4 linked regions of the Lepisosteus oculatus genome follow. The protein of the gene in region 1 interacts with the protein of each later gene in a pairwise test. Links are inferred from orthologs where the notes say so. Each region holds a gene or a part of one and is shown in the gene's direction. Other genes may lie near its edges. The genes, in order: hsp90ab1, cysteine and histidine-rich domain-containing protein 1, cdc37l1 and ddx24.

Region 1 (7,389 bases):
GGCCCACTACACTTGGAATACACACTTTGTAAGTAGGTGGAATCAACAGATTAAATAAACCAAAGGTTTTGCTATGAAATTTATGGAGTAGTTATCTGACCTCAATCAACCTATGCTTAAAAAGTATAAAATACTGTAGTTATGTCTAGTGGCTTCATATTGGATAAAGAATCTTGTTGTGTAATAGAATCGTGAATGTGGTGAAACTGAGATCACGCTGGGAAGATAAGAAAAACAAAGTAGTCAACAGAAAAACTGAGCGAGTGAGCTCAATAGTGCATGTAAAAGCATGGAAAGGGCAATCACAGAATACTGCACTGAAATCTGCTGCTCTCTTAAGACAGTATGTCCTTAGAATCTCCAATGCAGAATTAAGACCCAAGGAAAAAACAAAGTCCAACAGCAGACGGCAAATAATGGCTCAGAAACCAGTTGAACCCCGTGACAGACAATGAAGATGAGTGTGTACAGTTGTAACTTCTCAATATTGTGGTCCAGTCTGCAACACCAAATGTGAAGCTGGTAACCTGATAGATGAGTGTTACGATCTAAATCAATTTTTCTATCCACAAGTTTATCTTGATGTCACTTGCACTTCTGCAATAAGCCTTATCCTGCTCTGGTGAGAGCTGCTGACAGCAAGGTTGCAAAAGTCAGATCCAGCACTTGTAATAAAACAGTGTTTCTTACTCTCTTTTGTAATATTGTTGGCTTTTACAGTAGTTCCTCAATGTTTAGCAAGAACATTGACTTTCAGTACCTAATCTGTGAGCAGAGAGAAAGATAGCCCAGAACTGTTTAGTGTGCAACTAGTGTTGGTACCAATCCATCTGTTAGCCTAATGATGTGTGGTGAATTTGTGGCTATACTTGTATTTGTGAAATTTCTATACTCCAAAAATTAAATAATGCTGAGATTGAAAAGGAGGCTTTAGTTTTTCTCATTTGAATTCCACATTCAGGACACAAAAGCTACAGGTCCTTCTTTTTTATTCTCAACTGCATCAGACATATCACTGCACCCAAACCAGAAGGTAATGCATCACAGGATAATAAATTAATAAAATATCCAGGTCTTTGAGGGAAGCAATATTCATCCCAAGGTGATGCCAATCTGGCATGATGTGACGTGGAAAATTAACAAAGGACTCTAAAGAGCTGCACAGATTAAATCAAGAGATGCTAAGCAGGACACTTGAGAGAAATGACATTGAGACCAAGGCGAAGAAATAACTTTTGTTTTAACTAAAAGCAAAAGAGAGACATAAAAGGTAGAGCTGTAGATCGGGAAATTGGCTCCAAAAGACAAGTATATCATGAAAATAAGAAAAATCAATGAAGCACAGAACAGTATTGTAAACGAAAAACAAAATGCTAGTTTTCAGTAGATATTCAAATAGACGTCAACACACGCTACAGGGGAAAAGAGGTAATGTTATAAAGCATTTATTATGTTGTTGACAAACATGGACAAAAACTATGTGACCTGAATGAAGTACTGAAGAGGAGGTACTGTATACTAGAGCAAAATTCAAAGGACATTCTATGTCTGAAGGACAATAGTAGCTTTTATTTTTTCTAAAAGGTCAGCCTATCTAAACTAATATGTATGAAATACTATGGATACTGAAAGAAAATCTTGTTTTCATTCACAATTCTCAGGTGAACTGAAATCTAGTAGCTATTACGGCCAGCAGCCATATCACCCTGCAACTCACAACTGGCAACCCACTGAAGCTAAGCAGGTGTGAGCCTGGTCAGTACCTGGATGTGAGACCTCCTGGGAAAAACCAAGGTTGCTGCTGGAAGAGGTGTTAGTGGGGCCAGGAGGGGGTGCTCACCCTGTGGTCTGTGTGGGTCCTAATGCCCCATTATAGTGATGGGGACACTACACTGTAAACAGGCACCATCCTTTGGATGGGCGCTTCTCAAAAAGAGTAAGGGTGTAATCCTTACCAATCATGGCCTCCTAATAATTCCCCTCTATGAATTGGCTCCATTACTCTGCTCTCCTCCCCACTGATAGCTGATGTGTGGTGAGCGTTCTGGCGCACTATGGCTGCTGTTGGTGGTGGAGGGGATCCCCATTACCTGTAAAGTGCTTTGAGTGGAGTGTCCAGAAAAGTGCTATATAAGTGTAAGCTATTATTATTATTATTATAGTTCAGGTGGGTAGCTGCATCAGCATGCGTAGGCTGCAAAGGAACAAGTAATAGGTTTATTCCACGCTGAAAAAAAGAAGAGAACACAACGTTTCGGCCGTGGACACGGCCGAAACATTGTGTTCTCTTTTTTTTTTGGAAGCATCATATTATTATTATGATGATGGTATTAATGTGCTGATAAATGTGCCGGTGTTGTACATGAAATTAGCCTTAAAATTATATCAAATATAAAAATACGTTGAACATACCTACCATATTTAATATTCTCAAAATGTTGACCGTATTTCAGTGTTAAAAAACTCTGACATACCGTATTTACGATACGTAACATCAGACTGAAGGATCTGTGAGTACCTTTTAACCAGTCCTTATTGTATGGGTAGCAACAACCCAATAAAAAATAGTATTAAAAGCAAACCAGAACTAGATAGTTAAAACTAAACATCCATTGTGACAATAAATTATTTATTGTATAATAAGTTATGTTATTGTATAATAAAAAGGGGTGGTAATATTATTATTATCGTTTTTTTTTTAAATTAAAACAGCACTTTAAATATTTTTCTTTTTTCATACTCTCCTAAATTTTATAACCACATATCGACACAATATTTAATCGTAAATTCAAAATTAAGAATGTTCTGGATTGTACACATAAATTCTAATGCAGCTCAAGAAAATATATTTAACTACGGAGGCAGTTGCGCAGTTGCTATGGAAGCAGCTTGTTGCACGACAACCGAAAACGAAGCCCGGCAAGAACACCGCATTTAACATCCTGTGACGTCAGGAACCCGGGCGGGGTTTATGCAGAAATTTCTGGAAAAACCTAAGCACGCATTCGCGGGTATGTCTGTATCCTTCCGTTGGAGTAAGGAGTTCCATAATGAATCACACGTGAGAAGTAGAAATGTAGCGCATATCAATTCAGCCATGAAGAATTTGGTATTATAGAAAAAAATCATTTTGGAGTTAAAGATGGGAAGAGGATATTAACAAAATATCACAAGTAAAATATAACCAAACGTTAACGTAAAAGCGATATTGGTATATTATGTATTAAGATTCATACCATAGCATTCAGATATACACCGTATGTACTGTACTTTACACCCCTTCTCGTGACGTCCCTTCTGAAAAATGAAATACAGTAAATTTGTACCGTATTCCGCACGGTATTATCCATTATCCTTTCTATTTTTTAAAGAATTTACCACACTTTACACATTTAGTATGTTTCCAAGGTTTCTAATGGTGCCTTGCAATATTTCTCCATGTTCACCGTGATGTGTACATGGTTTATACACTTCTACTTTTCCTGCCTTAAAGATACAATAAAAAAGTTGTGATATTTTTTTTAATTTGCCTCTTAAAAGCTATAGGACAATTTACTGTTGTTGTTTCATCTGTCATCTTATTAACAGTCATCATTAGTATCACCAGACAGTTCTGAAAATAGGCTCGGGGTAAGTGTTTTGCCAACAGGCAGATTAATGTACAGTATCATATAGCAATGTTGACGTTTTGATATTCATGATAATTTTGATTTGGAAGTAGCAGCTACTGCCAGATACTAGTGCTAGATCCCCAACCTCATTTCAAAGCCACACTACATTTATGTATATTTTCACATACATTTCCAACACAATTGTGTTATTGAGATTTTTTGGATATATGTAATAATACAACAAAAATATTTTCTTTGCGACGAAAAAGCGATTTTATATATATATAACATGGAAAAGTACCACATCTCACGTTTTTTTGTTTCATGTACAATGCCCTCAAATTTGAGTATCACGTTATCATCTTTTTTACCCTACAAGGCTGTCCCGTGCAAATCTTCGAGGGTTGGTGTGTTGGCAGGTTGTCATAGTCTCTATAAATCATCAGTACCCGACAAGATGGGGAAAGTTTTGAACTGGTGCAATAAAACCCATAATAGACTGACAAAGAGCCAAGCAAGAGCAATGACCTTAAGACAAGAGACTGCAGCCTTAAGCACAGTGGTGCTGTGTTTATGATTGGTTTTAGAAAATCCTATACAATGATTTAAAGGCTAATACTGTATTTACTTATTTCTAATTACGTATTACGCACTACACAATACATAGACCTGAATAAATACCCATTCCAGTTTCTCATTGGGAGGCTGCAAGAACAGGGAAATAGCGCTTGTTTACGCGGATGGATACATCGGCAAGCGCAGAGGGTATAAAGATACTGTCTTTTAAAAGGAAATCCCTTTCAGTTTCTCAGCGTCAGAGTGCTTGGGGATCAGCCTGTGTGGTTGCATTTATTTCAAGAAAAGAACAACAGCTAAAACGTTAAAGGTACGTTTCTTTCCCCTTTATGAGTGTTATATGTGGTATTTATAGGTGAGCATAATAATTTTGTAAAAAAAAAACGTACATTGATGAGAGATGAGGTTTCGAAAGAGTGGTCCAAGGTACAAGGCTGCCTCCTGATCGCTGGATTGAATGAGAAGAAACATAAAACATGGGAGAAAAGAAATATCTAGTTCCCCGAAGCTGGGAATGTTCCAGCTTATTAGTGATCAGAGTAAATTTCTCTCAAAGGTAGATATGCGTCTAAAACGTTGTTTAGTACAATGGTTTCTGATGGAATCGTGATGATTAACTATTTAATTCTATAGATACATTTCCAGCACCTCCGATTGACATTAGTTTGCTGTAAGAGATCTAAAACTTACAGACGTTCCCGGTTTGTTCCATGAAATAAGTACATCGCTAGCTCTGACGTGAATAACATGCTGTATCACGCTTTGTCTTCCTGTATGTGAACGATTTATCCGTGGACATAAGCAGTAAAAAATGTGTAATCGACTGGATAGCGTTATGTTTTTTTTTAGATAAGCCGAAGTGAAAAAGATGTGCTATTCTTTCACTTGCAGCATAGTTATTATTTATTCTTGTTAGAAGGTTAAACCCACGTGTTCTACGTTAAACTGCATAGCAGGTGCCGCCATATTGTTCGGCTCCGGCGTCACTTCCGTCTCGAATGTATTGAATGATTGTGCGGAAAATAAAATGGAGTCTGTCCCTTCCCTTTCTTTAAATTACCGTTGAAGATCGTGCTATTTTTAACACGATCTTCGCTCCTTTGTTGCTTAGGAGGTATGTTTAACTTGCATTCCCAGCTATGATTGGGTGCCACTGTGCTGCCAAAAGCTGGCACACTGCAGGTGAAGGCTGGAGAATGCTGCATTGCGCCACACTGTTCATTTTTCTCTTGCTGTACTCGATAACGCAGCTCGAAATTCAAAGAAAGGTTTCATTTTACCCCGAGACTCGCGAGTCTGTTTTTGGTTGAGGTTCAGTTAAGGTGTCTCATGTATTCACAATAGCTCATTTATAAGCAGTTATCTTTGGATTTAGGTTTGCTTTATTTAATGGCTTATTGTGTGAAGCTCAGTTGTTGGAGTAGTTTGCTGCTGGTCAAAATTTACATTTGAAAAATGTAGTTGATTTATTGTTAAACAATAGAATTTTCCTTAATCTTCCAGAGTACAAAATCAAGACGTGCTGTATGTAATCCAGGGATAGGCAAGTCAAAGCGGTTGTCAGTTACTGCTCAGGGCTGCACAAATACCCTTTCTTGGTGATCCCTTTCCCATCAGTGTCTTATGTGATGTTGGCACACCCTGTAGTCCCAAGGTGCCTTGTTAACCCTGATATCCTGTCTGAATTCCACACTGGAAAATGTTCTGTACTTAATCTGCTGTGTAGTGGGGCTGCAGGCCGCTGTATGTCACCCAGTTGGGTGCTGCACTCCAGGGTGGCTGAACAGGGCCCTTTATTTAGTCTCCGCTGTTCCTTAACCCCTGTATGTATTTGTGTAAAAATAAGTGAGTGTTTCTCATCATTCTTTTTTTTACTTTTTATTTTTTAGATGCCTGAAGAAATGCGCCAAGAAGAGGAGGCTGAGACTTTCGCCTTCCAGGCGGAGATTGCTCAGCTGATGTCTCTGATCATCAACACTTTCTATTCCAACAAAGAGATCTTCCTCAGGGAGCTGATCTCCAATGCTTCTGATGTGAGTCCCCTGTGTCTCAGGATTTTTGGTCACATGTGATTGAACTTCTATTTAATGAACCCTACCTCCATCGAGCTTGGTTCAATGTTGCTTTATTTAAAAACAGCTGTGGCTGTTTTGTAATATACCTCTTGCTTACATTTTAAAAGTATTGTAAAAATATTTTTATTTGTCTCTTGATTACCTAAACACCTCTCAATCCTGTCTGCTTTATTAAAATGTAAATGTTATGGATTTTTAGGCACTGGACAAAATCAGATATGAAAGCTTGACCGATCCCTCCAAACTGGAAAGTGGCAAGGACCTCAAGATTGATGTCATTCCAAACAAGAATGAGCGTACCCTGACTCTTATTGACACTGGAATTGGGATGACAAAGGCAGACCTCATCAATAACTTGGGAACCATTGCCAAATCTGGCACAAAGGCTTTTATGGAGGCTTTGCAGGTATTGCATCACAAAGCTGAGAAATGCATTAAAATAATTTACATTAATAATGTAACGTCTTAGCGGTGCCATTGCACAAACAGTTTAATAGTAAATGGCTTTTGTTGGTTAAACTCTTATCTCAATGTTTGCTCTTCCAGGCTGGTGCTGACATCTCCATGATTGGGCAGTTTGGTGTGGGGTTCTACTCTGCTTATCTAGTAGCTGAGAAAGTTGTGGTCATCACAAAGCACAATGATGATGAACAGTATGCCTGGGAGTCATCTGCTGGAGGATCCTTCACGGTCAAGGTTGACCATGGTATGTGGCTTTGTTAGATGACAAATTAACCTTTTTTATTACCTTAAATTCAACAGCTTTTGGATTTTCATCCTGCAAAGTGGTCAGGCCATAAAACTGGTGGCAGAGCATTATATTTTCAAAATCATTCATATTTGGAGTGGTACCTGTTGCCAGGTGAAACCCTTTTCTCCAGAACACTTTACTTTTTGCCAAAGACTTACTAAAAAGCAGGACAACACTCTTGAAGCTGTAGAAAACAAGAACCTTTAACTAATAAAACTTTTTTTGAAGGTGAGCCCATTGGTAGAGGCACCAAAGTCATCTTGCACCTGAAGGAGGACCAGACTGAGTACATTGAGGAAAAGAGAGTCAAGGAAGTTGTGAAGAAGCATTCACAGTTCATTGGGTATCCGATCACTCTGTTTGTAAGTATTTTGAA
Region 2 (7,790 bases), on another chromosome or scaffold:
CCTCATCATCCGGAAAGTTCATTGCCTTTTAAACTGCTGCTTTTAATAATTAACATAATATAATCGTTAATATTCAGTAATCAGTAATATTATTTAATACATACTGTAAGTAATATATGTTACCTTCTATACTTCAATAAGTAATAAGTGAGATAGATAGATAAGACTTTATTGATCCCGTAGGGAAATTGATCCCTCTTCATGTCCAACTTTGAATCTCCAACTTTGGAGTAGAAAAAATAAACTGGCAGTGCTTCCAATTAAGGAACTTTTTAGGAGCAAAGAGCTCAACTGGAACAGAAACCAGCCAGCAAGAGCCTATAAAACATCTTGTTGTCTCTACAAAAGAACCTTTCCTCTTCAAATAAGAAAGCCACCCATGTTTAAAGAGCATGAAACTCTCTGAATCTTGTAAATTGGAATACTTCTATTCTTCTATAGAAGACCTGAATACCTGTAAATTGTTTTGCCCTTCTAATTTCAGTATATTCATGTGTTATACAATGGTGTTCAGCATAAAATTGGTTAAAAACAGCTTTCAATCTTTACCTTCAACAGTGAGTGACAGTAGCTACCAAGTAAAAAATAATATTTAAAAAAATGCAGTTTTTGACCAGCTTTGACCAACTGCAGCATATCAAACCAGGTATGAGAAAAATAATATTTACAGTATAGCTCTAGGAAATAGCATTGCTGTTTAGAAGGGCAAACAGACCACGAGGAAATATGATTGTACACGATTTAGTAGAGAAACATTAGTCACACTTTCCCACTGACGGCTTCCTTCATATTGCAGAACCCTTGGAATCTAGGCCATCAGAGGGATTTTAGACTGACTTAACAAGCTGGGGTATGAACACAGCATTCCCTGAGGGTTTTATACCTACTTTGAGATTTGAAGGTTAGCATGGTGAGTAGAATATAAAGATTCCAAAATGTTCGGTATCTGCAGATGTCTGTTTATGAATTACAATTGTTAAATTGAAAACTCATCAGAGTAAATATCCAACTCTATGCTTTAAATGGATCACACAAAGACAGTACAGACCTAATTATGTTTTTGGAAAAAGCACTTTTAAAAAGGAAACCCTGAACACAGCCCCTGGTAAAGAAAAAAAGCTCTTCAAAGCAGATCAGAAAAGAAAATCAGCCAACCTTGCTACTGGACCAGCCTTCAATCAGATTGTGCTTTGCTTTCATGTATCTTTTCTTGTCATTATTTCCATTTTGGCCCGCGTCTATATTTGCAGTTCTTGTTCATGTTTATCATGCTACTGCAGTGGGTGATGGCTTTCATTCTAGTAAAAGGATTAGCTCCTGCATTTACGACTGAATAAATGTAAGGAAAGGCTAACTTAAACAGAGTCTGTTCTTATGTCTGTTTTAACACTGAATATAAACAGTAGGATTCCCGTATCTACTGCATATCTATCTGAGCTTTTCTTCAAGGCCATGGAGCCACTGAATTTAATTTGAAATCTGCATATTTTATCTTCGTCAGGTTGAATTAAATTTACAGATGAGTTAAGATTTACTGTGCTCACCATATATTGCATATTCTGATGCACAACCAAAATGCAAAAAAAGTGCAATTTAACATCAAAGAACCACTGGTGGCATTTGAAAACTGCTGTGCGTGATAAATAAGGTGTGATGTGATTGAATGTAATGCTGTGTTGTATTCTTTTCTTGTGATAGACATTTACTACGTGAAAATGCAGGATTGCAGGATTTGCAAAAGTGGTTAATTCATGATCAACACTATTAAAGGTGGACTGTCTGTGTGACACATTGACTGAGATACACTGCTTTGACAATTAAGAAGCTTATCCAGAAAAAAAAACAACACAAAAACACTAGGGTTGAGAAATGTCATGTCTTTAGAGTGCAGTGGTAATAGAATAAGAGAGTGCAGAAAGAATGCTTTGACCATAGCAAACTCTCTGCTTAAAAACTCTGTACATATCTGGGTAAGGAAATGTCTTGATGTTAAACATGGAAATAATCAGCTTTTGTGAGTCAGGCAGAATCTGAGGTGACAGAAAAGAGACTGATGTGTTTTATCCACTCAGGAATGCACCCTTGATTGTACTGCTAGAAGACAACATACTGTATTTGAAGGTGTTGTGACAACACTGCTATTGCATTGTACAAGCCAATTGATGGGTGGTGTGTCTTTCAACATGAAAATGACCTTGATAGTCCTTGAAAGTAGCCTAACAGGAGTGATACCAGAAACTGGCATCTCGTTCTTTTCATTCTGATAGTCTTTATTATTTAAAACAAAATAATAAACTGACATCATCAAAGAATGTATTTTTTTGTTTCAAATCTGATTATAGTAACAAGAACGAGGATTATACCTGATAAGAATTAAATAAAACATGGCTTTGCATTTCCATTTCTCATTACTATATGTTAGTTAAAGTGCATTTATGACTTTTGGAGTAATCTTCTCATCCATTTGATTACAATTTGCACCACTATGCATTAGGAAGAATTTAGCAAAAGTACAACCCACCTAGGGGATAGAGTAGAGAAATAGGTCTCTGAACTAGTTGTAGATTCAAATCTCAGGTACGGGCGCAGTTGTCATACTTTGAGTTAGGTACTTTACCCTGACTACCTTACTCTATCCAGCTGTACAGTAAAATTGGTGCTTGCTGGCGGTAGGAAATACACTGGTGTTTCATCTGGCTAAGGGAGTCTTATGGTCTCTGTTCACTGAATGCCTTGAAAACCTGAATGAACTCTTGTTTTGAACTTGGAATTACTGTACCTACCTATGTATATTTGCTTGTGTTGTTGTATGTTTGTTTAAATTTTCTCCTTTCACCATATCAGAATTGTAGGCATTTTCATAAGTATCTTCAGATGGCTACAGTAAAAAAGAAAAAGAAAAACAACAGCTGCTAACAGGTGTTGTCTAGTTTTATCTTATTAGTTTTCGGTTATGAAGACTGCATAGAGAATTTTAATTAAACCAATAGGGAATTACTAAATAGAGTTCAAGCTATTGCTGATTTGCAGGATAACTGAAGGTTGTTGTTGTTATTTGTTTCAAGAAACAAAAATTGTTTTGCCCTGAAGAGTTTATGAAGAGTTATGTTTTCTTGTTCATTCTGTGGAAAACCTAGATCAAGGCTTCCCAATCTGCTCTATGACACTTCCTTTTCATTCCTTTGTAGTATTTACTGCAGACATCAGTTCATTTAATGTGTTGATCCTATTTAGTATCAATTAAAGAACTGGGAATCAGGTTGCACTGACGCACAGCTATGGTACAGATAGCATGGGCTGCAATCTAACAAGACATACTGTATGTTTGATCATAATCATAAAAACACATTAGAGAGTGATGGACCCTGTTTTTGTCACGAAACGTTTTTTTCAGGACCATATGCAGACAATAGAATCCAGAAAGGGAGTGGAAAAAACGCGGGGAGAGAAGACAAGGAACGGGGCCAGTAGACGAACAAGAGGGCGTGTCAACGGTGCACTGGTGCTCGGGGGAGGCGTGGTCCAAGCGAACAAGTCCAAAGGGAGTCCGTAGGGAGATCCAGGGTGAATTAAAGTCCAGAGCAGAGTAATCCATCCATGAGAGGCGAGACGAAAGTTAAAAGCCGGAGCAGAATCCAGTGAATGGTCGGGAAATAAAATAAAAACGGATATGTATCAGATATTTATGAAAAAAGATAGTTGTATTTTGGTGAAAATAAATCTATGGTTTTGCCTTGTTTCTTTTTCAGTACTCGACAACTTTCAAATGCCCCTTTTTAAAAAAAATCCTAGCAATATTCCTTAGTGCTACCCACACACTAACGCTCATAATTAAAGTACTGGAGTCGACATAAGCTATTTACGTTTATAGAGAAATTTAAGTGAAAAATATCCTCATCCATGTGACTGTACCCTTATGTTTGTACATGTGTGTTGATGGAGTGAAGCAGTGTTGTTTCTATGCATTTTCTCCTGATTTCCCTTCTAGGGATAAACGTTTTAATATGTTAACCTTCTATCGGAAGGTACAACTCACAACTGTGAATTCTGTGACTGCTTCATGTGAGGGATCAGGTTAGGTCTGGATTAGGGTATGGAGTCATGGTTATGTAACACTGTAACTTAAATTATTAATTTAATTTTAACTGAATTTACCATATTGTAAAATGCAGATTTAGAAAATAACATGATACTTATTAAGCAGGCTGATATGGTTATGCTGACCTTGCAACAATGACCAAAAAAGCCACAATGATGAAGAGAACCATGACTGAAGAAATAGAAATCCTGATTGGAATTATTACCCAAGAATTCCATCTCTTTTAACTTTTACACTACCCATGCTCATATTATCTTCAATTTGATCTCCTTTCCTTCATATTCCTGCTCTCTCTCTCATTCTCTCAAACACCTGAAGTACTGTACAGTCCTCAGCCAATTTATTTTTGTTTTTTCTTCTTTATTTTAAACGTTTAATGTGGAATTGCCCTGTGCTTATTTCTTTGCAGCTCATACACTGCCCTAGCTCAATTAATTCAATTGTTAAAAAAAAATGCAGGCAGGCATAAAGGCGTGACATTCATAACATACCGTTTGTATTCTGTGGAATTCATTTTCTGATGTTAACGAGATCCATGCAATATTCATAAATTCCACTAGACGCCACTGTTTCCGCGTTTGTGAAAAGAAGAGCGGACTCTGTGGCGGCTTTACGTCAGTCCGAAGGTACTCGAAGATACTCGAAGATTTCCGATACCAGAAACTTCGCGAAGTTTCCCGAAAGGCCCCGGTAATTTCCGGAAGTATCTGTGCAAACGAATGGAGTGCGGTGCGGCTACTGTTTGTGTCTTCTAAGCACAGACCCCTCTGCTTGGGCCGTTGTGTGATTGTTTTTGTGATCTGATACGTAAAGTTCGGGTCGTTGTGGTGTCGTATTTTTTATCTTTTTATAACAACGTTGCTGCTTTTAATAGGGATTTGTTAAATTCCGCAGTTTTTTTATGATGTCTGTGCTGTGTTATAATAAAGGTTGCGGACAGCGCTTTAACCCCGAGGATAATCCTGATGGTAAGTTCACGTGTGTTAAAATATACAAGAATACGATAGGGATGCAAATGTTTTAATTACTATTATTATTATTATATTAGTTTTATATTTTGACTTCGCCTTTTAGGTTACTTAGTAACAGTTACTGGTGACATCAGTTTCCATCTGCAGCAAGCATGTGTTATTTTAAAAATGTGTTTTATACGTATGTAGCGTTATTTAACGAGATATTTAATTATTTTGAATTAAACATCTATTGGTCTTTTAAATTAAGTTAAGTATATCAAACATACTGTTAGAAAATGGTAAACCGGAAGAATTTTCTGGAAAGGTCATCCCGATTTTCAGCAGCTAGTTTCATTTACTGGCACAAAATAAGCCGGTTTTCGATGTGCCTTGGTTATTTGTAAAGGAAAGTTATAAGAAACTCGTGTAATATAAACGTTTAACAATGCATTATGATCATATGCCCTGATCCCACGTGTGGTCAAGGTTGAATCTAAAATTGGGTAATGTGATCTGATTTATTTGTACTCTTGCAATATGTGTGTGCGTGGGAGGGATCGAATGCATTGCAAATCTTTTTAATTTTCATTACCCAGCTGATTATATTATATAGCTGGGGACTTCTAGGGTTAATATGTCAGTCGACCAGATTCAGGACCGGTTAGTAATTCCTGATGTTTCAAGTAAAGACCAACCTAAGTCTGATTGTAGCATTGTCGAAATAACGAATGAATGAGGTTGAAATATACCTGAAAGGTGCGTTAGTATCCTGACTGAAGCAGTGTAAAAATATGAGGGTAATATTTTGCATCTGCAGTACTGAAGTCCATGTGATGTTAATCAATGTACTCTAGTGTTTTCCGATTATCTACTGTTTATTATTTCTGTTCTAGATGGTTGTACGTATCATCCTGGAGTACCCGTGTTTCACGATGCCTTGAAGGTTTGTGTAAAAAAGTTTTCAGACTGCACTAAGCTTTTTAAAGCTTGAAGCATGATTTTTTTACTGTAGCATCTTCTTTTTGTCTAGGGGTGGTCTTGCTGTAAAAGACGGACAACTGACTTTTCAGACTTTTTGAGCATCCCAGTAAGTATATTGTCTTTGATTCAGTACTTTGTGACAGAACTTAATTGAAAAGTGTTGGACAGTGCCATATCAAGTATTAAAATACAGTTATTTTATCATTTTGATTCTGATTATAAAAATTAAACCAAATAGTCTGAGACGTTCAATCCAAAATCTGTGCAGTTAGTATAAAGTGAAATGGAAGATTTAAGAGTGATGTAACCCACATCAGTAAGAGATGTGTTACAGTTTTGTAACGCATTCAAAACTGTCTTAAAGACAGATTTTGAGTGAAATATTTATTGCTTTCATTTTCAGTAAGTCAATTTGCTATACCTTTTTCTTCTGTTGTGTATTATCTGTGGTGTTGTATAGCTCCACGAATTTCTTGAAAATACAATTTGCTCATAAATAAAATTATTTCAAGTCTTTCAAGAAAAATTAATTGTGAAGGTGAATGTGTCCCTTTATAATTTTTTTCAAGGGTTGTACAAAGGGTCCTCATAACAAGGAGAAGCCTCCTGAGCCTGTTAAGACAGAAGATAAAAAAGATTCAACAGAGGATCTAAAATCAAAATTCAATGAATATGTGATTCAGGGCCCAAAACCGGTAGAAAGTTTCCAAAGACCAAGGTAAAGGTTTCTACATCCTAAAATCTAAGTACTTTTTGATACTTTTTGGTTTTCTGCTTATAAGTTGTCACATAGTCATGTACAAAATATTTCTTATTTTTTCCTTTACAGTGCCGATGAGCCATTTGTAAGGCTGCAATATAAAGTTTCACCTTCACTGAAACAGGCTTTAGAAAAATTAAAACTCTCAGAAGTCAATGATCAAGAAAAGTCAGGTAAATGGTAGCACGTTTTTTAACGTAATAATTCTTAACATTGTGAAAATATTTGTGTATTAACACTTGTTACTTTGCCATTTACTGTATAACTAAATAAACATTTTTGTTTTCAGAAAACGAGGGAGAAGAAGTGAAAATTGGTACATCGTGTACAAATGGAGGCTGTTCAAAGGTAAATGCGCACATAGAAGAAAATATAACTTTGAAAACATAGTAACAAGGTACTTTTCTTGATATTTGCAAGTGTTGTAAAATAGAGAAATTTAAAAAATAATGTCTATAGAGGAACTAAAGATATAAAACAATCAATTTTGAGACCAGTTCCAGTTTTTCAGTTACAATTTTTATTTTTCAGTCTATTTTGAATTCATTTTATACATTCACTATTGGAAAAATTGGCAACAGGAATTGGTTTGAAGAGAAAACTGGAATTGTCCTAGGAAACTGGTTACTGGTTTGTGCATTGGATATAGTTCTGTTTTTCTGTTGGATTTTTGGTTCACTTGTCATTTATTACAACATAAGAAATTCAAAGCAGAAACTTAACCAATTCTTTCTGATTCATGTGTCATCTCTTTACATATTTGTTTTCTCTCTGGGTAGTGGGAAATCCTTTAGGATTTTGTCACTAGGCGTAGTTTAGTAATATCTAAGTTTCCTGTGTTGGGTTTCAACTTTATAGACTTTTGCTGGGCCGGAAAGCAATGAGGAGACCTGTCTATATCATGCTGGAGTACCTATTTTTCATGAAGGGTAAGACACCCCCTTTGGGCAATGAAATTTAAACACAAGTTTTTCTTTTTGAAAATACAGAAAAGTTT
Region 3 (7,829 bases), on another chromosome or scaffold:
CTCAAAAGAAAGCTGCTCTGACTGAAATGCCAGTGCAGTGCCTTTCTGCTTGCTTCTTGTAACAATGTTGACAGTGAATGATAGTTTAGAACCACTTAAGTAGTGAATAAGAAGAGGAGGTGAATGTCAAGTCACAACTTCACTCAGAAACTAAACCCAGTCATTTTGAGTAGGGCCATTCCAATGCCTTTTTTAAATAGCATTTATTAGCTTATTATTTCTGTAAAATGCAACACAAAGATTAGTTTTTGTTAATCTTGTCTCTGCTGGTTGTGGATGTATCTATGGAGAACTAAAGTAGAAACTATTATCAAGATAACTATTGCTTTAATTTATCAACTGAAGCAGCACATAAGTTTGTATTTGGTTACAACTGACATTTCATAGACTTCTGCTTAAATTCACTAATACGTATATGTTGAAGAAGAACATATATTTCACCACCAATACAACAACAGCTCCATCAGATTCCAGCTCCACCTCAAGTCTCTCCTGTACAAACTGCACCTTTAGATCTAGTGATTCATCCCTGTATTTACTTTCACTTCCCTGTCCTGTACAGTATGCGCTTTGGTTTCTGTCAGCTATGATCCACGATCTGGATAATGATGTCTTGTACCAACTGTACTGTTTCCAATTGATGATAATAAGTCCTTGGATTTCTTTTGACTATCTGGCTGGAGGAACTGAAACTGAAAATTTTTGAACAGAGAAGACAACAGGACGATCTGTTCCAAGTATTTAAAATACTCCAAAAACACTGACAAAGTAAACTCAGTGGACCTTATTAGAATAAACAGTTAAAACGGGAATAAAAGGACACAGATGCCAAGTCGCTGGAAGAGCATTTTAAACCTGACAACAGGAGACTCTTCTTTAAGCAAAATTGGGAATATGGAACAAGCTACCAATCCATGATGTTGAAGGTAATACTTTGGTTTCTTTCAAGAAGCAGCTTGATGAGATTCTTGGATGGCTTAGTTACTAACTACTTAATGGGTGAGATGGGCCACATGGACTCCTCTCATTTGTAAATCTTTTATGTTCTTATGTTATATATGCAACAGGTACAGAGTTAAATATCACTCAGGACGTTTCAGGGGAATGTGATTGGTATAGGTTTAGAGTTATAATCTATCTTTTTGCTGTTGATGGACTAATGCTACCAGATATTTTATACATTGGAATATGTCACTTATTCCTTATTTTTTTCTTCCTACATCAGACAAGTATGGAACAAAGCATTGTCTAAAGTATTTTGTGTGGAAGTTATTTCACAAAGATTCTTCTACAGTAGGTGTATTAGCAGCCTGAGGATATTTAGGATCAATACACTACATTAGTATCCACGAAAACCCAAGATAGGTTGAATAGCAATCACATATTTGACAATGCTCGTTATCTCCTACATGTGTAGTTTCATCTGATTGCCTTTAGAAATGTCTTGTTACACTGGACACTGCATTATGGATGATCCTCTTGTGGTTAGGCTGTTGCATTGCTCCTGTAGTGAAAACCCAGAATAATCTGTCTACCAAATAACAGTTTAAGCCCACGACATTAGCATACTTAACACAATCTAACAAAAAGTTAAGAAAAGTGAATTGTAATGCAAGATGAATATGTGGAAACCACAGTGCTATTTTTCAAAGGATTTTAAAAGCTAACCAAGCCAAGAAGACTGCACTATTGTGATATCTCTTTTTGGGAATGGCTTTTTTTGCTGAGCTATACTACCTAATTAAACATTTTTGAAAGTATCCCGAATAAAAGTCTACAGATTTCCACAAGTAGGTCTTCCAAAACAGCAACTGAAAGTTCAACTGTAGTCTTAAAAGGGCTTATAAATCTGCACCATATCAAAACTACTTTACACTTAAATATCTACAAGGGATTTTCTTTATAAAAGCAATCCTTCATGTAGGGTACTTGGGGAAAAAAATCCAAAATGGGACATGTCATAAGCACGTACTCTACAGTGCTGAACGGTTGCACAACATGATGAATGACCATGTCCTGGGCGTTCTATCTTCAATCTAAAAGTAGCACAAATAAAAGAAAGCAAGAAGCAGCCAAAAGTGATATTTTTAAACTTTTCGTGGCACGGTGTAGTAAAATTAGCCTGTTCTTTAACGGGAGCTCGTTTTAGCCATTTAAAGTAATTTGAGAAACATGTACCGCTCATGTCCTGTGTTCTGATTGTTTGATATCTGTACTTTCCCTTGAGAAAGTGCATCGCGCTGTTCCTCTCTGCTTTTGAAAGGAATGTTCCTAAACTGTTCCAAGTGCGATACTCATTCATACGTTTTGCCAAGTGGTGATCTATCAACACATGAACTCATCAGCACAATAAAATGATCCAAAAGGCATGAGAGCTTTCTTTTCCTCATCTTCCGTCACACATCAGCCAGCTTTGTCTCACAACAACATTTTCTTTCGTAAACCCTGCCGGCAGGTGCAGCTGCACGTACCGGCTTACAGCCAGCCAGGCCGGACCTGCACACAGGTAAAGTGGAGCACTGACAGTGCTACCTGCCCACGTAGCCTTTACCTTCAAATAAATTAACTTATTTAATGCTGGGCATCGCATGCGACAAATTTACAGAATCGGGCATCTCACCTTCGGCAATTACTCTTTTGATCCTCAGCTTCATCTCGCCGAGCTCCACGGTTTGCCCTACGAAGTCATTCTGGTCCCGGCTGGCAGCCCCAGCAGAGCCGGGCCCCGCCAGGAAATCAAGTGCCGACTGGAAGAGCGACATTATTCGTCCAGCGTCCGGCCCCCTCAGGGAGACAGTGCTATTGTATCTTCAGCAAAAATTCAGATCTATAGGATACCTCGTCCCTAAAAATCCAAATCTGGAATCTTTTATTCAAATTATAGAACTACTCATTCGATCTTCTCACCGCATCAACACACTGTTCCTGCAACCAGAGAACAGCCACCATCATCACTGCACTTCCGGGAGCTCTGACGACAACAGTTACGTCACCTACAGCCCAACCTCGACCAGTTCTGCTTACACATGCTGAATAAATTAAAGAAAAACAATGAAGTCTGTAAAATGATACGGGATTTATTACTAACACATGTCTATTCATTTATTCTATATGAGTGAAAAACGTTGTACTTATTTCACAGAAACACTTTGAATTTTCCTCAACATGTTTAAAACAATTAAGGACGAGATGAATGAAACGAAACAGGTTACAGCGCAATTCTACCAGGGTTAGTCTAGATAACACCGCCTTGCTTTTGTCAAGAGAAACTAAAGTTTGACTTTTCAACTGTAGGTCTCTACGATGTTGTCTATAGCTTTTATTATTTTATGTGAAAAAAACGCTTTTTCAAGAGACGTGGTTACTATTTTTAAAGACGTTATGTGATATAAACATGATGTAACACTATCCATGTGTTAAGTTTTATTTTAGTAAAAGTTTTGAATTGGTTTACCGTTTTTTACAGACATGCAAGAACAAGAAAAGATTAAATATTCTACACGTTTTAAATCTTCAGGAATGTTAATTCACCCTTTCTGTTTGATAACGTGTCAAACTATTAGGTTAACTTGTTCCCATGTTAGTATTACATTCACTTATGAATTAATTGACTAAAAAAGGAATAAAATGTAAATGAAAGTCAAAATAACATTGGATAAGAACACATAATACATATATATAAATACAGAGCATGGCTAATATTGCTGTTTAAAGCCTTCAGAAAAATAAGGTAACGTTTAATTTATGTTAAACACCTTATACATGAATATAAGGCCAGCGTGTAATAAAAAAATATATTTATTCTTATAGTATTTTTTTACGGTTGAGCTTCAAGCATTACTGTGTTGTCTGTCGTTCACCGTTGTAATCTGAATAGGCTATTCCCCTCTCCTGCAGCGTTTTTCTTATCTGTAATTGGCCAGAGGTTGTTGGTCTCTTCTGTGCCTCCACTGATTATGGTAAACGCGAACAAGGGTATGATTCAGCACACTGTTATTCAAGGATCAGGGTTTTTTTTTTTGCAACGACCTTTATTTACATAATTACTAGAAAAATACAAATTCGCAATTAGCGACTCTTTTTTATGAGAGCATCACGGTTCAAATAGTTAAGTTAAAATCGACTAAGTCATAGTAGATGTGGAAAACATTCCCTACAATTTGTACGGGCTATGTGGGCGTTTATGTTCTGCAGAAAAAAAAACCGCTAACACCTGAAGAGTTTGTGTTAAGCTATGTCAATGAAGACGACTTTACGAAGCATGGACTCCTGAATCAAAAGGTTTCCTAATCACATAGGAATTTTATACAGAAATCCTCAAAGTGTTATTTCCAAAATAGCTACGGATGTTAACACACAATTCCATACAATTGATGTGTTACACGATATTTTCAAAGAGGAACGTGTCTTCAATTAAACTTAGCAGCTATCTGATTGTCAAATAAGAACGGAACGTTAAATGGGGTTCTAATTCTATATGTCAGAAACCGAAATTAATATTCCCCAGCCTTGGTATAAAAGCAAGAATAGTATGAAAACAAACAATCCACCAGCCTAGAAATGTACTACTGTATATTAAATTTACAGTGGAGCATATTTCGCAGCAGGAGGAACAAAGAAAAAACTATTACAAAAATGGAGACTTGACCGCCTCGTAATTTGTCTTCAGTACAGTTTTGCTAATCGTAGTCTTCGTGTCGCATAAAATCATAAAGCTCTTTCCAAAATTCGCCTTGGTTTCTATACAATCATAACAGCTAACTTTTCTTTGCCCGTAGATGTCATATGACCACAACACAGCAGTCATGTGCCCGCGCACGCCAGAGTCACGTGGCTGTGTGAGTCAGCAACATGGCGGTGGACGTTTATGTCATTTTCTGAAAAGGGATTCTGAGTTTCCAATGCCCTGATTCGGACAGGATCATTCTCTCTGTTCTTATCCTACTGCAGCCGCAGAGATTCGAAGGAAGGGAGAGACAATAGCGAAGATGGAGTGGTTCGGCAGTGGATCTCCCGGATTTTCTAGGGAGAAAGATGGTGAAAGTGTCGGTTCGAACAGCCTCCTGAGTTCGCCACTGTGCCAGCAGGTACTTGCTGAATGTAGACAGAGATGAGTCTTGTAACGGTTGCTGAAAGTCAACAGATGCACGCTGTTCTCATGCAGTAAATGCACACACTTTAAAATGTGTTCGACAAGATCAGTAGTGAATTTGTAAAAATCTCGTTGTTTACTTACTTTATTCTTCCGAATTACAACCCATCTCTGAAAATTGTATATTACGGTCTTCCAATTTGTTATTATTGTAAATGCGTGTTAGTAATGTAAAAGTTGTACAAAATGCTGCATTCCTGCTAACATACTATAGCTATATCAAACGACGTGCTTTGCAGTGCATGTTATTATTACATTCTAAACAATAACCCGCAACTCACTTTATACTTCAAGTACAAATTCAACCGCATTGTTTTCAGAAACTAACACTCTTCCATGGATAACGAAATATACCCTGAGCCTCAAAATCAACTTGTTTTCAGAAACATGTCAGTCTTTTTTGCTTGGTGTTCTGACATTTTATTGAGCAGCCTTTATTTAGGCAAGGCAAGCTAATTAACCTGATTAGCATTTGTCATGAGCAGGGTGATTAACAGGGTGTCTCCTGTGAAAGTCACAGGTTAGTAGTGTGGGTGGTTACTGTTGGAAGCAACATAAGCAGTGTACATGTATCTTGATACATGCTTTGCATCAGGTTGCAAGATGCTGACATGTGGGCTTCAGTCCCATTCCCATTTTAGAGCTTAGATAACACTGTGCCTGTTCATTGGTCTCTGAGCCCCAGATGTCCAATGTTTTTCCAGCTCATCCTGCAAACATTCAGTGAAGCTTAAAACTGATGAGTAGGGCATCGATGGCATAATTGTCACATTTCCAGCTCACAAGAAACAAAACATTTTTAAATGGGCTGTAGCAGGACATGTTTTGTTCTCCAGGAATGTTGTCATGTCAGGACGAGCCTGCAGGAAGTACAGCAAGGCAACTCGCAGGAGTTCATCAGTGCAGTGCAGTGCCGTGCAGTGAGGTTGCCCTCAATCGCTGCAACTGGAGTTCTGTAAGGGACTAGACACTTCTCCACAGACTGTCGCACTTGGACCTCACCCAGCGATTCTGGCAATGTCAGACAATCAAGCGAGATGCCATGACTCATAGTCTCCCTGACTGTGGCCAGATCATTGACGGGCTGTGTTTGGCTTTAACATCTTGCCAAGTTAGAATTTGCTGGCTGTGAATAACCCTGACAATGAGGGACAGTGTGCTGACTTACTCCAGCCTCCAACATACTGATGGGTTGACAGCATTGTTTTCTCAATAAGTGGAACATGATGTTTCCTTGCAGTGTTAATTTGTTATTTCGTTGATTTTCACCAGGTGTGACTTTCAGCAGGTTTCATCACATGCAAAATCCACTCTTCAAGCTATGGGGTAATTTTAGTGATTATACAATAATCACTGGAGTGTTTTAGACTCAGTCAAGAATAATCATTAAATCAAAAGGCAGCCAAATACATTAGCCAATATTCAAAACCTGTTTTCCATTTTTCTAAAACTAAAACAGTAAAACTAGAGTAATGTATTTTTAATGTTCATATATTTAGCTTAAAATCTTGGATTTAGAATGCAGCCAGTTCACTGTAACTGAATGATATCTAATGAGACAAAGCTACTTGCCTCTGACAAGCTGACGTCCTATGACTGGATAGCATGCACAAGAGCTCTGGCGAAGTTACAGGCCTTACGAAACGGTGGCCCATATTAAAAGTACACTCTATATAAGAGTTTTTACTTTTCAAATGAATAAAATGCAGCCTGTGCATTTTAATAAGGGAAAATCCCTAGTGGATCTTAAAATTGTAGTTTTTATATTGGGACATAGAAGGGGCTTTTGTGCAAGAAACTGGTCCTTCAAATTAGACCTGATTGAAACTGAGCTTTAAAAATATATCAAATGCGGACTGTTATGGGTATTAGCAGGGTAATGTTGTAATAACAGAAATATTATTTTCTAATTGTCTAGATTTCTGGTTTGACAAAGTCATGTGTGATGACTGTTGGCTTTGCCTTCAAGACCTATTATAGAAAACGTGTCTTAACATTCAGAAAAAAGTGACTGTTCGTGTCACTGTATCCTAACAGCTAGCGCACATAATTTGAAGTTGACCTCTTTTACTACTCGAAATATATTCGTTTCTGGTTTCAGTTCATACAATGCTATCTGTTGATCAGAAATAAATGCATTAAATAACAACCAGGAAGTTGTACTTAACCCTTGTTCATCTTTTGCAATCTTTTAGTGACTGAGACATGTCTGGGTGCATTTGGTCCCTCGCCCTGATAGCATCTGTCGCTACAACAAGATGAGTTATGAAATTGACGTACCAAAAGTGCCAAAGTAAGAAATCTCTAAAGATGGCAAGGTAGTTGCAGTGGAATTGAGATGTAATTCTGATCTGCAGGATGGGCAGTACCACCTGAAGACGGGGTGGGAGCGGGGTTAATTCAGGCTGGGAGCAAATCGCTTGGGGGGCATTTTAGCTGGTTTGAGGGATTCTGCTCTCAAGATCTCCGGATGGGAATTGGTGGAACCTGGCTCGAGGAGTGGGAGCTGTTTGTCCACAACCTAACACTTATGCTTCAGTGTTTCCAATTTAGTATTCTGGTTGAGAAGGAAGAAATTGGCCTCAGAAGACGATTTTCGGCGTGTTTTCCTGGTTCACCGACGGAGATGTTTGCGATGGGGCAGGTTGAAGTGCAGCTGCCGACTGCCATTTGATAC
Region 4 (7,665 bases), on another chromosome or scaffold:
CTGTCTGTTTGCCATAATATTGGCTCAGATTTCAGATTAAGTACGAGTAACTCTCTGACGTCCCCCAGTGTAGCAGTGAATTTCAAGCCAAGACTCAACTATGAAGACCAAAGAATTTTCTAAACAACTCATTTATAAAGTGGTAGAAATGCACATATCAGGAAAAGAGAGTGAAACATTTCAGACCATTAATATCTCTATGAGCATGAGGAAATCAATCATTAAGAAATGGAAGGCACCCAAACCCTGCCTAGACTAGACTGGCTCTTCAGACCAAGCAGCAATCACTGTTCATTGGCTCAAATGGTAGAAACAATATTTTGTTCACTTCACAAAGGGTGCTTGTTGGTATTGAAAAAAACATCTCAAATCACATGGAGTTTGCAACTAAGCTCCTGAGTGGCACTGCAAATATGTGGCGAATGGTTTTGTGGTCAGACAAGACAGGTTTGGAAAACTTTGGTCTAAATGCAAAGTGTTGCAAACCGAATAGAAAGTATTGCTACAGTACAGTAAGTCAATGCCATGCCAACAGTCAAGCCTATAGTTCTGATTCTCCTCAGCAGGAACTGGGAAGATTCTCAAGGCTTGAGAGAATAGAGTTGGAGTAAAACACTAGCAAATCTGATAAGAATATCTGCTTCAGACCTAAACTTAACTAAAATTCAACTTTCATCTGAACAATGACCAAAAGTGCAGAGTGGCCCTGGAGTGGCCCAGTCAAAGTTCCATTTCAGATTCTGTGGAAAGACTAGAAAACTGCTGTTCATATACATTCCCCAAGCAACTTGACATAACAAAGTGTAAAACTGCCTAGACAAATGAGCAACATTTACACCAAGACAGTGTGTACTGTCACAGTGGTACTCAACTAATAACACTTGTCTACGATTGCTGCCAAAATTGCTTGCATCAAAAATTGAATTCAAAGGTCTGAATACTTATTCAATCACTATGCTCTATTTTTCTTCTCTTCTAATTTGCAACAAATGTGAGTTTTGCTCACATTTGTTGCAAATTACTTCCTCTGGAAGTCTCCAGTTTGAGCACTTGGGTTCTGAATAAAATACTAGGTTTAAAAACAAATCGGAAAATGGGACACCATAAGAATGATCTTAACACTAGCACTGTACTTATATATTTAGTGTGAATAAAAAATCCAAACAGAATGTGTTGACTAGATTACTAAGTAAAAAGTCAAGCCCTGTAATGAGGGAGGTTTCGGACTATGCATAAAAGCAAAAAATCAAAATCAACTCATATGCTGCACTCTGGAACATACACATGCACAATTCCAAATTGCTTTATTATATAATTTTTGTTAACCAGGTAACCACTGACCTAAACAACTCAAGCTCAGGCATAACCCAGTCAAATAGGTGAGTAAGCTTTGCCAGTGACTACTGGCACTGTATTGTACCAGGCCATCCAAGCCACTAATAGTGCACTACACTTGGTCGACATCATGTATCTACAAAAAATACTACATTCAGAGAACAACAGCAGAACTGAATTGCCCTCTTTCATTTAAAAATGACTCAAACGAACGTTACTTCACACAATATGGAGTGCTGCACAATGAAATATGTTTCATTCTTGAATGTAGGTGGAGAGGAGGTGGAGTGTGTGGATGGAGGAGTAGGAGTAGCCTATTACTTGAATGCCTTTTTCATTGTAAAAGCTGTCATAGAACCCCAGACAAGAAAAATAACTCTTTGAAAATACCCATTCCCCCAGGAATATCGTATGATGCCACCGAACCTGAAAACACCGCACTAGACTAAACACCTGAAAACCACATCAATGCACAATAACATTAATATCACTTGCTTTCCATCACAGTATGTCTCAACATGCTGTAAAAGTACATTATAAGGTAATCAAACTGAAGAATAATTCCCTCAAAAAATTAATCAATCACGCAAGCAAGGGTAAACATTAGGAATGATTAAAACGATTATATATCACGTTTAATAAAATGTAGCATCCGCAAGTTTACAAATCGTAAACCATTTAATTGTTCAGTGGGTTAAATGCATAGTAAGGTTTCGGCTGAGGTCTTTCAGTATTAATTAAGTGTCCAGCGAACAACATTATTTTCACAAACCCGGAGACCCGGCGAAAGGATTCCTCCAGAGTGAATTCTGACAGAAAACTGCGTCACGCACTAAAAATGGGGAACCCCCATTACATAGTAAGCTAGTTTTAGAGGCTCATTTGCAGTAAGAGCAGTGAATTTAATGTTTTAACCAACAAGATACACACAGATTAATTTCAGACAGATCAAGAATTCTAAATGTTGTCGTAAATACTTGTATGTTACAGAATGCATCAAAGAGCACGTACTGTTAACATTGAAGAATATTATATACAAAGTGTAGAATACAACATGCAGCATAAATTATGCTTGAATACCATAATTTGAGATACATTTCATCAGCTGTTGCCCATATCTTTTCAGCTGCTCAATGAAATTTTAAAATCGTTGTGAACGTGTAATTTATCCCCAGATATATACATTATTCATTTATGTAACACTATTAACCGTATGTCTACCAATCTGCGTTTTAAATGGTCAAATTTTAGCAGCTGGACAGCTTTTTTAGAATTAATGAAAGTGTCTTTTCAGACAATTATATAAATATCATATCTGAAATACCTAAAATTCACATTAAGCATCTTATTTGTGAAAATGAAGTTACACATTCCACAAAAAATAATGGAAAGATACAGATTACATTTCTGACATACGAACAGATACAGACAGATTTACAAGATTCACAAATACCGTTTTTAATGTGTTATATAAATATTAAAGTACCTTCAGACTCCTGCGTACAGGTCTTTCAATGATTGCGAGGTCTTGTAGGTCATCTATTTGCCCGAACAAACTGGACTGGTTCAACGTCATTTTGTTGAAGTATTAAGTCTAAATTTTCTCTCTGCTGGTATCAATGCTCTATCATGATCTTGTCTCTGCCGTGACTGAGCAATAGGTTTCTTTGATTTGGGGAAAGCTGAATTCCACCCACGACAAAGCCTCTTTCGGCAAAACTGTATGTTGCCTTACAGCCTAGAGGATTACAGTCGTGTCAGTCTATAACATTAAAACATAGGTATCCGGAGTGTTTCTTCACATGATTATTTTGACTGATTTGAATAACTTTGAAAACATGTTATCATATACTCTATCGACGACCATTTAGTGTAATCTACAGTTCTTTAAAATGTCCTGGTCTCGCCACAGCACAGGATATTTTCCTCGACAAATGCTTTCAGGTTGAAGTTCTTTGAAAAGCCTATAGGCAGCGTCTGCTCTTTTCGTTAAAGAACCAAAGGAAGGATTAAACGATGTCAGTTCACGCGAAAACTCAGTGTCCACCCAGTTATAACTTTTAGCCTCTTCCTTGACTGTTTTTCAGTCTCTCCTTTTCAGCGTTACATACAGTAAGTCCTCTACTCTATTCCTTCTATAGAGGCCGGCTCTTCATGTAAAATTATTCAGTCTGACGATTTCTGCATACTGCATAGGCAACTATTGTACAGTTCACTTGGCATTAAATAGTTAAGGTCTTCAGTTTTAAAGTCTTAATCAAACCCAATAAGGCGAAAATACGTTTTGCTACACTTGCACTGCTACCGACAGCCTGGAAAGGGATCCCTGGACTGACATTCACTATCCACACAGAGAGAGCTGCACAGTGCAGCACCTAAACCGGTCTCCATGGAGACGCGGCACTACAGCAAGCCGTGGCTCAGCGCTGACAAATTTACCGCACTGTGCGTTAAAAAAACACAGCCGCGTCGGAGACCTGACAAAGCCCCATGCTATAGTTCTTTATTATACCCCTTATTTACAGACAAGGTTTATCTACGAATGTGTCTTTGGTTAATAATCACACCTTACAGTGACCTAAGATATTAACTTTAAACAACTGTGTTGGTATGGCCATTGTGTTTCTTTTTTTAAAACGAATCACTGATACTGCATGTTTGGCATAGTTAAAATATTTCCATATTAGTAGATAGTAGACAATAATTTATTTTTACATATTAATATTCAGTATTGAAAGTTTGCTTACTGTAGTTAAACGTCAAATAACCAAATATAAAATGAATCGGATCCGTATTACATATATATATGTCAACTTAACAGGCAATACTGTTTCTGATGCCAAAAAAAATGACAGGGTACATGCTATGTAATAGGTTATCTGAGCTTTGTTTAACAAAATGTAACCTTCGTACAGTCAGACGATGCTGTTTAGTTTCACTAGCTAAGTATCGCCATCACATACATTTGGCCTCAATGTTTTCAACACATCTTTACAGCAGTTAATTTGAATTACTCACAAAACAGTAATACGTTTTATTTCTTAACTACGACAAAATGAAACAATTGTCGATGCAGTCTGTGTGTGATTATATGTGAAGGAAAACGCGTTACTTGATTTTGAATTTTCACATTTAAATCAGCGGAAATACAAATAGAGTTGTATGCAAAATACAAAATGATCCTGCAATTCAGCATCCGACAATTACCAATGAAACAATAATAGTAAAGCCGGATTGCAAGAACAACCTCTAACATTCAAACCAATTTGTTAAAGCGTGCTTGCATTTTGTGACCTGTTAATAAAGTTATTCAAACCTACTCGCATGTGATTGGTTCACAATGCTTGTGCCCTCCTACATTGACATGGCTGCGCCCTCGTGCAAAGTGTGAGTGTTTCTTGTTTTCATGTGGAATGTAGATGATCCATATTGTCTTCAAACGAGAAAGCTATCAAAAAAGTGATAAATTCATTTTATGTACAGTGGGTGCGTGGGTATTTTTGTTAAAATGCCTGCTGGTGGCATACATCTTAAACGTTTACCATCATAATGCGTTGCAATTTCAAAGCTCTATATTCTACGCTAGATGAAATGTAGCGTTGCGGTAATACAGAAACAGTATTTAGAAACATTTACTGTTCTTTTTCTTTCAGTGTAAATTGGGTATTTATACATTGCATGATAAAACTTATGTAGCCTAATTCTTAGAATTAAAGCTGCTACTATCAGTTCGTAATGATGCAGAGAAAGTGAATATTACAAACGTTCTTTCTTTGATGATTATTGGGTTTTTTTGTAAGTCGTGTTTATGGTGAAGAAAACGAATTAAATAGCCCTTGTTTTTATACAGCTAAAAACCTATATTAACCATTTATATTATCTTTACTACATAGTGTTAATTAGAGAGATTGTATTTTATACGGGACATTTAATAATACATAATTTTAATTGGAAGCAATATTAAGTTTAGGTTCACAACAAAGAAGAAGGTTTCCAGTCTTCAGAAAGGTTAATTTGACCTTGTCTTTGTGTTTCAGAAAAATGAAGACTAAAAGATCAAAGACAAATGTTTTTAAGACCATGTTCAAATCCAAACGGGGTATCCAGGTGAGAGGAAAGTGGAGTCCAGTAGAGATCGACCCTGATCTCTTCTCAGAAGAGAACATGGGAGGGCTGATATGCTTTGAGGAACTCAGAGACTACAAGCTTGTTGACTCTACATTCACCGAGGAGAAGAAAGGCAAGAAAAGAAAGTTGGCAGTCGAGGAAGACTGTAATCCTGAGGTCAGTGATGGACAGCCAAAGCAACCTGCTAAAAAGAAAAAGAAGAAGAAGAGTCAGACTCAGAAGGTGGAGCCTGGAACTGGAATTGAAGCAGATGGCGAAACTGCCGTAGCTGTTCCACCAGTGGATGATGATTCCACTCTTCAGGAAGACAGTATACAAACCCAGACACAGCTGAAAAAGAAAAAGAAGAAGAAGAAGAAGAGTCAGACACAGAAGATGGAGCCTGTAGGTGATACTGAAATTGGAAATGAGGCAGATGGTGAAGATGCAGAAGACGTTCAAGGAGTGCCACAAGTGGAAGATATGTCCTCTCTTCAGGAAGATGGTATACAAACCCAGGCACAGCCAAAAAAGAAAAGAAAAAAGAATAAAACAGTAGCAGAGCCTCAGGTAGCTGAACTTCCAAAGCCTAAACAGAAGGTGAAAAATTGGACCAGTGCTGCCCTTTCAGGGTCAGGAAGTCAGATGTTGGATACGTCTGCTTGGAAAGATCTGTTCATTCCAGAACCAGTCCTCCAGGCACTAAGCTCCCTGGGATTTAAGGCACCTACTCCTATTCAGGCTTTGGCTCTTCCTCCTGCCATCAGAGACCATATGGACATATTAGGCGCAGCTGAAACAGGTGAGTGAAAACCGATGCTGTTCTTTGAACAGAACAACATCACTACCAATATCTAGTGACAGTATAACTGAAAATGCTGTGGGATCAAATTTGAATCAGTCTGGTCTGGATTCTGATGTGCTCTACAAATGTCACTGGGCTGAGAGTCCTGTTGTCTAGCAAGAGATGAGTTTACTTTTGAACATGGTTTTGTGGGTCAAAGCGGAATAGACACCAGCACCCTGTACAGATCCTTTTTTACAAAGAATAACAGAAGGTATAAATGAGGAGCTGCATAAATCAGCAGATTGCAGTCCTAGTAGAGCTACCCTACCATTAGTTTCCTTGGCAACAGTAAGACACCAGCAGGTACTGGTTATAAAAGAATATACAGTACTTCACTATTTGTTATGTTAGGGTGGCTGTTATTTTATTATTTATCATTCTGTATGTTTATTTATTGTTTAAAATACATACAAAATTTAATTACATTTGTTTTCTTATCTTGGTAACTGAATACATTATAAGAAATCAATTCAAATATCCCTTGAAATAATCCCAGCCAAACCTCTATTAAAATGGTTGATGTGCAAATTACTTCTGGCATTGTGAAAGCAAGTAACATTTCAAAACGGACACAGGTAAATATTTCCTGTTTGTGATTATACGTTTGATTTTTCCCCGTGTGAATAACACCATCGGTTCATTATGCATATCCCATGCCTATCTTCAACCAGGAAGCGGAAAGACTCTGGCTTTTGGCATCCCCATGATCAATGCCATTTTGGAGTGGAGGAAAGCAAAGGACGGGCAGAGCGAGGAGATGATTGACAACCCGAAAGAACATGGGAGAGAAGTGGGGGCAGTCTGTCTGTCTGGGCCAGAACCCCAGGAGACACCAGCGGACGGGGATTCAGATGGGGATTCAGAAGAGGACTGGGAGGGGGACAGTCACTCGCAGAAGCTGGGTTGTGTTAAAGTCATAGAGGATATGGAGTTTGACTTCAGTTCCAATCAAGAGACTAATAAGTCCAAAATGGAAGACAAGCGACAGAACCCGTTGCTGGGGCTCGTCCTCACCCCAACTAGAGAACTTGCAGTCCAGGTGAAGCACCATCTAGATGCTGTGGCAATGTTTACAGGTCAGTAGTCAGATTCAGGCACCAGTCCTCGGAAAAAAATCACACTACACAAAGTGCTCTCACTCTGTTTTATCAGTACATACGGTAAAAGGGCTGAACGGTTTTTTTCTTGGCAAGCCGCCAGGATAAAAAAAAACCCTGTCGTTCTTCAGGACTGGGCACAGGACACAGTTATTTACAGTCTTGTAAATAGATTCTTATTTTCAATGAATATCTGTATGTTAAGAACATAAAAAGTTACATTCAGGATGTCCTTCTAGCCCATTGATGTGCTAGCAGCTAATCCGATAATCTCATCCA

Evidence for each region.
Region 2: the proteins of hsp90ab1 (region 1) and cysteine and histidine-rich domain-containing protein 1 interact in binary tests that used the Homo sapiens proteins (3 or more experiments, as listed by UniProt). The link is inferred for Lepisosteus oculatus from reciprocal best matches to the Homo sapiens genes HSP90AB1 and CHORDC1.
Region 3: the proteins of hsp90ab1 (region 1) and cdc37l1 interact in binary tests that used the Homo sapiens proteins (3 or more experiments, as listed by UniProt). The link is inferred for Lepisosteus oculatus from reciprocal best matches to the Homo sapiens genes HSP90AB1 and CDC37L1.
Region 4: the proteins of hsp90ab1 (region 1) and ddx24 interact in a two-hybrid assay, tested with the Homo sapiens proteins (2 studies listed by BioGRID and IntAct, with this or other methods). The link is inferred for Lepisosteus oculatus from reciprocal best matches to the Homo sapiens genes HSP90AB1 and DDX24.

Annotation. Positions count from the first base shown.
Region 1 is NC_090697.1:43,351,799-43,359,187, reverse strand, and holds the start of hsp90ab1 (heat shock protein HSP 90-beta), read left to right. Parts: upstream 1-4,387; 5' UTR 4,388-4,497; intron 4,498-6,076; coding exon 6,077-6,220; intron 6,221-6,461; coding exon 6,462-6,668; intron 6,669-6,808; coding exon 6,809-6,968; intron 6,969-7,241; coding exon 7,242-7,375; intron 7,376-7,389. UniProt on the Homo sapiens protein: Molecular chaperone that promotes the maturation, structural maintenance and proper regulation of specific target proteins involved for instance in cell cycle control and signal transduction. Undergoes a functional cycle linked to its ATPase activity.
Region 2 is NC_090700.1:11,117,314-11,125,103, reverse strand, and holds the start of cysteine and histidine-rich domain-containing protein 1, read left to right. Parts: upstream 1-4,784; 5' UTR 4,785-5,000; coding exon 5,001-5,067; intron 5,068-5,945; coding exon 5,946-5,995; intron 5,996-6,082; coding exon 6,083-6,139; intron 6,140-6,602; coding exon 6,603-6,751; intron 6,752-6,862; coding exon 6,863-6,966; intron 6,967-7,082; coding exon 7,083-7,141; intron 7,142-7,651; coding exon 7,652-7,722; intron 7,723-7,790. UniProt on the Homo sapiens protein: Regulates centrosome duplication, probably by inhibiting the kinase activity of ROCK2. Proposed to act as co-chaperone for HSP90. May play a role in the regulation of NOD1 via a HSP90 chaperone complex. In vitro, has intrinsic chaperone activity.
Region 3 is NC_090698.1:23,642,892-23,650,720, forward strand, and holds the start of cdc37l1 (hsp90 co-chaperone Cdc37-like 1), read left to right. Parts: upstream 1-4,813; 5' UTR 4,814-4,988; coding exon 4,989-5,087; intron 5,088-7,829. Other genes in the region: gak (cyclin-G-associated kinase), read right to left, coding at 2,621-2,762. UniProt on the Homo sapiens protein: Co-chaperone that binds to numerous proteins and promotes their interaction with Hsp70 and Hsp90.
Region 4 is NC_090703.1:18,815,285-18,822,949, forward strand, and holds the start of ddx24 (ATP-dependent RNA helicase DDX24), read left to right. Parts: upstream 1-4,655; 5' UTR 4,656-4,675; coding exon 4,676-4,722; intron 4,723-4,732; exon of another isoform or gene 4,733-4,810; coding exon of another isoform or gene 4,811-4,821; intron 4,822-5,372; coding exon 5,373-6,244; intron 6,245-6,960; coding exon 6,961-7,365; intron 7,366-7,665. Other genes in the region: ppp4r4 (serine/threonine-protein phosphatase 4 regulatory subunit 4), read right to left, coding at 2,822-2,911. UniProt on the Homo sapiens protein: ATP-dependent RNA helicase that plays a role in various aspects of RNA metabolism including pre-mRNA splicing and is thereby involved in different biological processes such as cell cycle regulation or innate immunity.